3 linked regions of the Schizosaccharomyces pombe genome follow. The gene in region 1 interacts genetically with each later gene. Each region holds a gene or a part of one and is shown in the gene's direction. Other genes may lie near its edges.

The links.
Region 2: mutations in dim1 (region 1) and mok11 together harm fitness more than expected from each alone (negative genetic interaction), as found in Schizosaccharomyces pombe (one large-scale study listed by BioGRID).
Region 3: mutations in dim1 (region 1) and mca1 together harm fitness more than expected from each alone (negative genetic interaction), as found in Schizosaccharomyces pombe (one large-scale study listed by BioGRID).

Annotation. Positions count from the first base shown.
Region 1 is NC_003421.2:877,144-880,300, reverse strand, and holds dim1 (U4/U6 x U5 tri-snRNP complex subunit Dim1), read left to right. Parts: upstream 1-1,629; 5' UTR 1,630-1,666; coding exon 1,667-1,701; intron 1,702-1,712; exon of another isoform or gene 1,713-1,751; coding exon 1,752-1,777; exon of another isoform or gene 1,778-1,858; coding exon 1,859-1,899; exon of another isoform or gene 1,900-1,982; coding exon 1,983-2,093; exon of another isoform or gene 2,094-2,146; coding exon 2,147-2,362; 3' UTR 2,363-2,497; downstream 2,498-3,157. Other genes in the region: gpi10 (pig-B family GPI synthesis protein), read left to right, coding at 1-654; sorting nexin Snx12, read right to left, coding at 2,661-3,157. UniProt on the Schizosaccharomyces pombe protein: Plays a fundamental role as a protein essential for entry into mitosis (G2/M progression) as well as for chromosome segregation during mitosis. May play a role in mitotic spindle formation and/or function.
Region 2 is NC_003424.3:4,372,343-4,376,102, forward strand, and holds the start of mok11 (cell wall alpha-1,3-glucan synthase Mok11), read left to right. Parts: upstream 1-2,020; 5' UTR 2,021-2,034; coding exon of another isoform or gene 2,035-2,349; 5' UTR 2,350-2,390; coding exon of another isoform or gene 2,391-2,645; 5' UTR 2,646-3,156; coding exon 3,157-3,760. Other genes in the region: SPOM_SPAC23D3.13C (guanyl-nucleotide exchange factor), read right to left, coding at 5-129, 182-248, 290-370; aah2 (alpha-amylase 2), read right to left, coding at 697-984, 1,029-1,916, 2,035-2,349, 2,391-2,645.
Region 3 is NC_003424.3:2,987,119-2,990,878, reverse strand, and holds the start of mca1 (transcription factor), read left to right. Parts: upstream 1-2,025; 5' UTR 2,026-2,449; coding exon 2,450-3,760. Other genes in the region: U2 snRNP-associated RNA-binding protein Sap49, read right to left, coding at 419-1,314, 1,372-1,483.

The DNA of each region.
Region 1 (3,157 bases):
CTCCCATTAATATGCGGAGGATTTCTTCCATTCGTATTACTCACAATGGACCTTCAAACAGCGGGAACCATTCTTTGTGTTTTCTTTCCCTATTCACTGATAGGACATAAAGAACTTCGGTTTGTATACCCAATTTCACCGATTTTACTTACTTTAGCTGGAAAATTTTTTTCATCATTTTCCTCTTGGAAGCGTGCAGCACGGTTTTTCTTCCTTATTGGATTGGGACATGCTCTGGTAATTACATTTTTATGCCGATTTCATCAATTTGGAGTCATGGAAGTTATGCCATTAATACATTCACTTGCTGAAAAAAACCAAACTGGTCTAATACTTGCTCCGTGTCACACTACACCATGGCAGTCGCATATCCATTCACCTTTTGCTGAAAATGGATGGAAGTTCTTGACATGTGAACCGTTCGAAAAGCCCTTTGATGAGACGGATCGTTTTTACGAGAATATGCCTACTTTTCTAGATAAAATTAAAGAATGGCCGGATTATCTGATTTTCTTTGAAGAGCGGTTTTATAGCTTATACAGCTATCTTGACTCCCGAGGGTTGAAGTATGAAGAAGTACAGAGGTATTATAACTCCTTGATTCCTGAAAGTCGAGAGAGAGCTGGAGCTCTGTTAGTGTATAAGAAACTCTAATTACATGATTCTTCATACCCCAAAAATTTCACAGGTCAGCATAATTATCTGCATTTTAACAACTATTGATGTATTTTAAATGAAACCACTGATGACTATTACTTGCTTTGGACAATATTTGGTTTATCCCTAAAACGCCAGCTTGATTTCTAGCTCCCCATTATAAACGATTTGCATTTCTATTATGGTTCGTGGATTATAGAGGGGGCCATATCAAGTCTTCACAGAGCAAGAGGAAGCAACAATTTGTAGACGAATAAAGTAATCCTAAGCCATTTACTATTAAAACTTAAGACATGGGTGGAACACTTATCTTCCCCGAAGCCATTATCATGAATCAACATCATTTTAAAATTTTCAACCTTTGGCGACTTTAACCTTTCAGAAATTTTCTTAAATACAAATTTATAGCATATCCTGCACTCTCCAAACAAATCTGAAAAAGAAAAGTTAGCTTACAACGCGAACACCCAAGTCACTTAAAGAATTTGCAATTGTAATTTTATGCTATGGAGTCGAGAAAAACGCAAAGGTCATTCGTCTATGTTGCGATTGGGACTTGAAAAAATAATTTTATACGGCCTAGCTACGATTCTAAATTAAATTTTTTATAATAGTATTTCACAAAATATTTGGAATATTACGGATACTTTAATTTTTAAACACAGTAAACTGCTTAAACGGTCGGTTTCTAGAATTGTAAAAAATTCTGAATTTCATTGTTTTATTAGATGAAGTATGAATATATATAATTGTAGTAAACACATCAACGATTCAACTAAGCATGTAATGTACGAAAGTAATAGCAATCCCACTTGTGTCAAGAATCTCATAACTTCACTAAATTTATTTACTGAATAGCATTTACACTATTATACGCTTTTTTACGTAGAGTTAAAGCATTGCTACATCCTAACGCGCAAAGTGTATATTGTGTGACTTACATATCTACACTATTCTCGTCTGCTAGAAATTACCAAAATATTGCAATTCAGCAGCTTCAGTTGATATAATGAGTTATTTTTTACCTCATTTACATTCTGGATGGTAAGTTTTTGTGATAGATGGATTTATTCTTCTCTAACTTATGTTTATAGGCACGTTGATCAAGCAATTTTATCAGGTACGCGAACTTTAAGAAACGTAGAATGTTTCTCGTTTCACAACTTCGAATCAGCTTATTAACCTTTTTTTTTATAAATAGAACAAGAGCGCTTGGTTGTCATTCGATTTGGTAGAGATCATGTATGTTCTAATGTCGATATCTACTTGGATTAAGTCTATTTAATATTGTAGGCGGATTAATTTACTAACGCGTAACGGAATAGGATGAAGAATGTATAAAACAAGATGAAGTCCTATACAGAATTGCTGAAAAGGTCGTCAACATGGCTGTCATATATTTAGTGGACATTGACGAAGTTCCTGACTTCAACAAGGTAAGTCTAAGTCTTAGTTGGAAAGTCATGTTGCTAACCTTATTACCATCTAGATGTACGAGCTTTATGACAGAACTACAATAATGTTTTTTTATCGAAACAAACACATGATGATTGACTTAGGTACTGGTAACAATAACAAAATCAACTGGCCGTTAGAAGATAAACAAGAGATGATCGATATTATAGAAACTATTTTTCGTGGTGCTAGAAAAGGTAAAGGTCTTGTTATTTCTCCAAAAGATTACTCTACCCGACATCGCTACTAGAAGCCACCATTTGCTTATGCAAGAAAATGGAGAGGGGATAGAAAAATCATAGTAATTTGATAGTTTTTGGCTAAAATGAAAAAGTCTTTTTGCTTTAATTTTTACGCATAATTTGTACTTCAAATGGTATAACCCTTCTTTTAAAGTCAGTAACAATACAGGATTTGAAATTATCTAGTGGATGAATTGTAATAAAGTATTATCAAATCCTATGAAGAAATTACATTATATGATTAAAGAAAAGCATGAACATGATTACTCTTGCTATGATTTAACAAGAGAGGTAAAAAAGTGACACTCAAGTTGCCTTATTAGTTGATCTAGCGTGTTTCTTTAAAGCCAGCAAAATCTCGTCAAGAAGGGTGTATATAACATGAGCGTTTAGAGATTGGTTTTGGAGAATACGAAATATTCTTTTCACAGCAATATCAGGTGTATAGCCGGGAAACATGGAAGCAAGCAAAATCCCTGCTTCTGCTTTCAATTGATTCCTATCAGCATAAGCTGGCTTTCGCGCCCGTGAATGACGGCGGTCTTTGGAGTGATCATGATTAGATTTACCTTCAAGTCCTCGTCTAAACTCGCGTAACTTCCTATAAATCTTCTCAGGCGTAAACAACTGAAACAGTTGTAGTCGTATACGCTTTTCCAAAGCTCCGCCAAAAAGTTGTTCCAATATCGATATATAAGTTTTTTTCGGTAACCATTGCTGCTTTGCATCGTCATTTGGAGAAAACAATTCGACTAAAAATTCCGAGATGGGACCTGAGAATGACGAGTTAGTGTTAACGTTGG
Region 2 (3,760 bases), on another chromosome or scaffold:
ATACCGGTGATAAGGCATCGTTTATAGCAAGCAATTGAATTGAATTAAGAGATATGTAAATGTGTCGTTCAATTTTTTTTGCACAGCAAAATAAAAATGGCTTATAAAAAGCCTCATTTCCTTTCAATTCTGTGAAATGATTAGTATGTAGCTCTTATTGTAAATAAATAGCAGAACTTACTGGAAACTAAAGAATCTTGAGACAAATTCTTGTTTGTGTACAAAAACTTTAAAGAACCATCTGCAAGCTAAAGTTGTTAGACTAAAAAGTTGATACGCTCACATTTACCTTCTTCAAGTCTGCATTCTTTTTCCTAGTGTCCACATTAATTGACTGCAAATTTGAAAGAAGACTATCATATAAACTCATGAGTGTCTGCTTTAATTAAAGAATCTAAACCCCTTTTCATGCATGTAATTCAAGGGATTTGGAAACGGAGTATATACCACACTCAATGAGGGCTGTTGAGGTATTAATTTGCGATGTTCACTGGATTGCTATAAGGAGCTTAACAGAGTAACGCAAGATTGGTATTACGAATTGTATAAACACTATATTATATAACATCTAGTTTATTTTATGAGAGCAAAATAAACAATAGTATAAACCAGATAAAATAAAGCGCTCGTTTAATTAGGCGCTTGATGAAAGGTTTTTTAAAGAGGTGGGGAGAATGATAAAAAACTTGAACAGTATTAAATGAGAATAATCATGGGTAAAGCAAATGGAACAGCAATTAGCAGAATGAATAATTTCAATTTGGTGAAGGATCGAATGGTTTTAGCCTCTGATTTAGCAGTTAACGTATTCCAAAATTGTTGACCTCCAGGATGTTCACGTATATCGTATCCCAATGGAGCTAACAAGGTAGGCAAAACATAATGAGTAGTAACTGTAATACTTGGAACAAATGTTATTTCTGGAAGAAGAGTCGCTGTAAACTGGGGTAATGAAGTTTCGATTTTGCTGGTAGGATATAAAACCTTTAATGAACGTTAGTAGTCTTTTAGACAATGAAATAACTTACAATGGGAAATCCGTTAGTGATGACAACTTTAAGCGTGCCGTCAGTGTTCACAACATATTTTTGGTTGTTAATGATATCAAAAAACGTGTCCTTAGGAGATGCGCCAAGCGGTTTGAAAACGATTGATAGACGCTCTTCGTTATGAATTCCATAGTTGTTCAAAACGGTAATAACATTCAACTTTTGAACAACTATGTGGTGAATTTTGACGCTTAGGATAGTAGATCTAGTGTTCACATAATTCTCTTCCTGACGTTGAACGGACTTCCTGAACCGATTTAGGATACCAATAAGCTTATAGTATACATTCTCCATATCAAAATTTGATAGCCAAAGAGCTTCTCTATTAAACGGATCATGGTAACTGTTGAAATTTTGTTCGGTACCATAGTAAATAATGGGTATACCGTCCCACATCATCACAAATGTAATTGCATTCATAATTCTTGCTTGGTCGGTGTTATTGTGGCTTATTCTTGGTAAGTCATGATTTCCAATAAACGTTCCCAACACATTGATATCATTGCACTCTTCGTTTATTTGGTTAATTGCGATTGCTAAAGCCTCGCATTGAAGACCAGTGTTGTTGAATGCCCAAGTAATTGGCCAGTAAAGAGGGAAATTGAGGAAAGAGTCTAAACCAGAATTTTGGTAATCACAGGCTTCTGCTGGCGAACCAGTGAAATATTCGCCGATTGTAAATATATCCGCTGCTTTCGACATTCGTAACCAGAATTCTATCGGCGCATGCTTAATTGCATCAAACCTGATACCATCGATATCATATTCTTGCACAACGTTTTTTATCCATTTCTCTAAAACGCTCAAAACTACTTCGTTTTCTGTATCAACATCAGCCAACAGTAAATTCTCATCACCAAGCCAGCACTATATCATATAGTTAGTTCACTGTCGTTCTAAAAAACAATATAACGAGACTTAACGACCTGTACAGGCTAAGTCTAGGTTGTAGGAAAAATCGTTTAGTCTGTATAATTTGGCATACATTTTGAACACTTTCAATGTCGTTGCTTTCATAATCAACCCAGCAGTGAGGATGAAAGAAAGAAGCATCATTGAAGGGTATAACTTTTTCAAAGCTCATTTGTTCCAGCGGTCCGTTTATCGCCATAGAATTGATAGCCACGTCTAGTAAAATCCATATGTCGCGTTTATGCAATTCTTGTATTAGCTCCATAAATTCTTCCTTTGTTCCAAAGTGGTGATTAAGCTCATAGAGGTTGGTTGTCCAATATCCGTGATAGGACGAACCGTCAATATCATTTCCTTCAACATTTTCAAAGATTGGTGAGATCCATATCTATCATTATGTTAATCAAGTATTTGGGTAAAAATACATACTGCGTCAAATCCCATGCCTTGGATGTAATCTAGATGATTTCGAATTCCATTCCAAGTTCCCCCGCAGTACATAAATCGAACGGGATCGCATGGAATTCTCTCTGTTGCACCTTCTTCTAAAGAAAATCTGTCGGTGATTATTTGATAAATTGATCTGCGTTTCCACTCTTCAGCAGAATGTCCTGCATATGCTGGAATAAATGCAAAAAGCAGCATCCAACCAATTCTGAGACATATATTTCTACGGTAATTCATTATTAATCAATTTTTTTACCTTTTGGTTTCTGATTGAATTATGGTGTTGTTTGTAACAATTTTGCTTCTTAAATTTCAGAGGAGTTTGTGTGAATGCATGTAAACAAATACGTGTTTACTTTTTATTTGCGCATAGTCAACAACGATTGTTATCAAACAATTAGCTATTTGCTACTTTAAATTGCGCACACATCACTACTGTTGTTTTAGTAAACAAACAATATAGTTTGATTATATTCATATTCAACATTTTGTTTTGCGCAACACATGGACATACTGAAATCAGTATAAGATAAATAACTGAAGAACCAGTATTTTTTTTCTTTTTCAAAGATTATCTATTAAAATTCTATAAAAGAAACTTCATTTTAAATACTAGAGTGATCGTTTTTTCCCTTTAATCACTAGTTTAAGTCTGAAGACTTTACCTTCTATCTTTTGTGCTCCTATCAAATTTGTTAAAATCTTTTTACTTTTTCAACTATTTAACTAGATTTTTACACTTAGGGATATGGCGTACCCTCTTGTTGTTTCTTTCTTTTTGTATATTGTTATACTTGACAAACATGCTTGGTGCGCTCCTTTCAATAATCTCCTTACTGATTGGAATTTGAACACTAACGTTTCTGCTCTTGATCCATCGGATTATTGGGGTGAATGGGAGAATCATGAATTTTTTCCTAGCCCAGAACATTGGAGATTTCCCATTTATACTATTGCTATTGACAAATGGGTCGATGGAGATCCAACCAATAATGATTTTAGTGGAACAAGATTTGAATACGACATTTATGAGACAGAATTTAGAAACGGTGGAGATATAATTGGTGTGCGTCAATCTTTAGACTATTTGCAAGGTATGGGTGTTAAAGCTGTTTACTTTGCTGGGACACCTTTTGTTAATATGCCTTGGGGAGCTGATCAGTATTCTCCTCTTGATTTCACGTTACTTGATCCTCATTTAGGGACGATTAACGACTGGAGAGGAACAATCGAAGAAATGCATAGTAAAGGCATGTATGTAATTGTGGATCTCACCGTTGCTACATTAGCCGATCTGATAGGTTTCGAGGGTTTCACAAACACTACTACTCCGTTTACTTTTATTGAGCATA
Region 3 (3,760 bases), on another chromosome or scaffold:
GTCTTCGTGTACTTGATTTATTTAGTTTTACGGGATAACGAGTCAAAAATAATACTTCACTAATATTGGTCAAGAGATTAGCAGCTTATATTTAATATAATGCTTAGACTATACTTTCGTTTGGATTGTATACATAATTCAATGTATCTGAAAATATGTTGGATTGAATTAATGCGTCGTTTATAGACTATATTGCCGATATTTAGGGACGAAGTAAAACTCATTACTAGAAAAAGTCAAACTGTAAAATATAAACAAACATCAATTTTAATTTCTTTTAAATAAGATAAATCTCAGCTTCCACTTTTTTTACTGTACACGTTAAAAAAAAAATCAACCATACGGATCAATCTCAGCTATTTTACTATGCCGGCGTTTGAGCAACAATGGTAGTTATTTTGCTTCTTTTTAAAATATTTTACCTCCTTTGTTGTTGACTGTATCCATTTTGTGCATTGATTGTTTGATAAAATGGTATGTTTGGCATTACAGGAGCACCAGGTATGGTAGCAGCAGCAGGAGAAGGAGAAGCCATCACCATTCCTGGTGGTGGAGGGGGGACAAGTGGTGCACCTCCAGGGCCCATTGGAACATTCATCATTGGCATAGCAGGCATTCCAGGGAAATGCTGTGCAGCAGTGAAAGGAAGAACATTAGGTATTGACAAGGGAGGGACGGCAGTAGTTGCTCCCACTAGAGGAACATTCGGTACAGGAGGTATCGATGTAGCAGCAATTGTTGCTGGAGTATTAGCAGCAGATGTTGGAGCAGGAGTGGCGGGTGAAAATCCTGGAGGCAGAGTACTCTGAGGAGTAACGGCAACTTTATTCTTTTTAGCGGCTGCTGCTAGCTTTCTTTCCGCAATATCTCCGTGACGTTCACCCTTTCCTTCGCGTTTAAAGGCGTATGACACGGTAATTGGTTTATTCATTAAAAACTGATTATTCATGGCCTCAATGGCTGCATCAGCGGTTTCAAAAGAATCGTAGCTAACAAAACCATAACCTTTCGACCTTCCATTCTCGTCTCTTGCTACCTGAGGTGCCTTGACAAGTTGTCCCAAAGCAGAAAATGTATCGTACAATACGCGTTCATCAACAAGAGGATCCAAGTTGCCAACAAATAAATTTGCACCAATTAAGGTATTGACTCCTCTGTCCTGGCTAGCTCTATTGACCCTTATAGGCTTTCCAAACAACTTTACTTGATTCAGAATTTGACATGCATACTCAACATCTTGTTCGTGTAAGAATTCGCAGAAACCAAAGCCATTATGACTATTCCTTACTCTATCTCTTGGAATATGAATATTTACTGTATGAATTAGTATCGAAAGCCACAAATACAACCAACACTCGAATAATTACATACCAACTGGACCTGCCTGCAGGCATAACTCAAACAAAATAGAATCCGTTACTTTTTCATCAAGATTGCCAAGATATATAGTTGCATCCTGATTCCTGTCTTCTCGAATACTCATTAATAAATAAGTAAAAATAAGTTAAAGTGTCTATTATAGAAATTTATTAGAATAAATAGATAGACACGTTTGAAGACGCTGGTAGAAGATTCAAGAAATTGGTGCATAGTCTCGTTATTGACTTAATGACGAGCACCAAATAGCACAATAGAAAACTAAATTACAGTATTCATCGTTAAAATTTCAGTGTCCAGCGTTTTCCAAACACATTTATGGAGATTTTTAATACTAAATCTTCGTTTTTTTTTTATTATTTTATAATTTTACTCATGAGATTGAATTATATTCAAGTTGAAGGTACAGTTGTGAATGGTAGACTGACGAAATATTTTTTATAGCAACCTATCTCTTTATACAGCCCTAATTTCCTTACATCCATCGTACACTAGTACATTTAATAGGTTCATTTATTAACTTTTTGTAAAAACGATGTTTGGCCATGTATATTTATTTTTGCTGCTGTAGTTTTGAACACAACTGAGGGCTTATTTATGTTACCCTAGATGGGCTTTTTACTCCCATGTGGTCTTTGTAACCTTCTTATGATCTTCACCCTTCAGGTGATACCACGACTTCAGTTGAATTTTATAGCTTTTCGAGTGTGTTTTTAATCAAAATATTTCTGTGATGTTGGTGTTTTGAAAAAGCGTACTTGTGTAGTCCTAGATGCCCCTTTTTTCTTTCACTTAAGTCTATTATTGTTTATGTTTAATTTTCTACTTGCAAACTTTTCGAAAGGACTGTTCGTAGCCTTTACGTTTATTGCTTATTTATTTTTTCTGATTTAAGCTCGTGAGCTTTTTCTAACAGACGTACGATCAGACAATTGGCACGTCTGCTTTTCTTTTCTTTTCTTTTTTAAGACCTGTCTACTCAACGCAGGATTTCTTCGATTATCTAGGTTTTTAAACGGTTTAAAAGGACACAGAATATTTTATTACTTCATTTTAGTATTTTATTTTCGACATGATTGCTGCTGTCGAAAAAGATGCTGTGCCTCGAAAAAGGCGAGTAATCAGTCAAGTATCTCAGGCATGCATTCGGTGTAGGCAGAAAAAAATAAAGTGTTCTGGTGAAAAGCCATCATGTCAAGCTTGCAGTAACAACAAAGTTGAATGCATTTGGCCTGATCGACCGAATATGCGAGGCAAAAAGCCATCTTCCGCTGCCAGAACCTTGAGTCCTCTTACTGGTATAGTGCAACCGTATCTGGGCTCTCATCCTTTTTCTCCTACGATCCTCTCTCCATCATCTCCTAACATGGATTTTACTTACTCTATTAATAGCTTTGGTGACTATCAGAAGCAGTTAAGGCTACCAACCAGTAGAAAGTTATTACAGCTTTGGGACATATTTCTTAAAACTTCATATACCGAACTTTTTGGGATATTTAATAAGGCCCAAATTACGTCTCAAATTGCAAGTGATACTGCTCCGCCAGTCCTCGTACTTTGTATATGTGCTCACGCTGCTCGTTTCAGTCAAGAGGAAGTCAATAGATTTAAATCTTCAACTGCAGCATCTGATTACTACGCAAACCAAGCCTTTTCACTGCTTCCTTGTCGTTTCCAGGATATTTCACTGACTAATATCACTTGCCTGCTCTTGCTTTGCTTAATTGAGTTGGGCTCTTGTAGAGGCGCTAAAGCCTGGCTTTTACTGGGTATGGCTCTCCGTATGGTCGATTCTTTAGATCTTGGTAACGAAATAAATGATAATCCTCTTACGATGGGATCCAACACTGTTTCATGGACTGAAGCCGAGCAGAAAAGAAGGGTTTATTGGGCTTGTTTTTTTGTCGAACGTTTGCTAAGTACAGGTTACATGGCACCTTCAAAATTGCGCTCACTTTCTTTATCTCTTCAAAAGACTAGTATACAATTACCTTGTCCGGAACCTAATTTTTTATTTAATCAGCCAATTCTTACTGAGTTATTTGATGGATCTTTACCGGAAAACACTCAGTCAGACACCACTTCAATGGCCCCATACCAAAGAAGTTTACAACTGGAGTTTATGACGGGTTCCCTAATCCGCTTGTCAAATTTGTGGAGTGAGATCTCAAGATGGGCTCTATGTGGTGGATACACGAAAGATATCACACCCCCTTGGCTAAATCAGTCTCAATTCCATCGTAGCTTTGAGCTTTTAAAAGCCTGGCATGAAAATTTACCTCCAAGAGCAGTTTGGTCATACACTAACTATTCGGCGTATAGTTCTCCCGGAGAATCGGCTGGTGCCTGTTACACTTTTATGCATTTGCTATATCACACTACC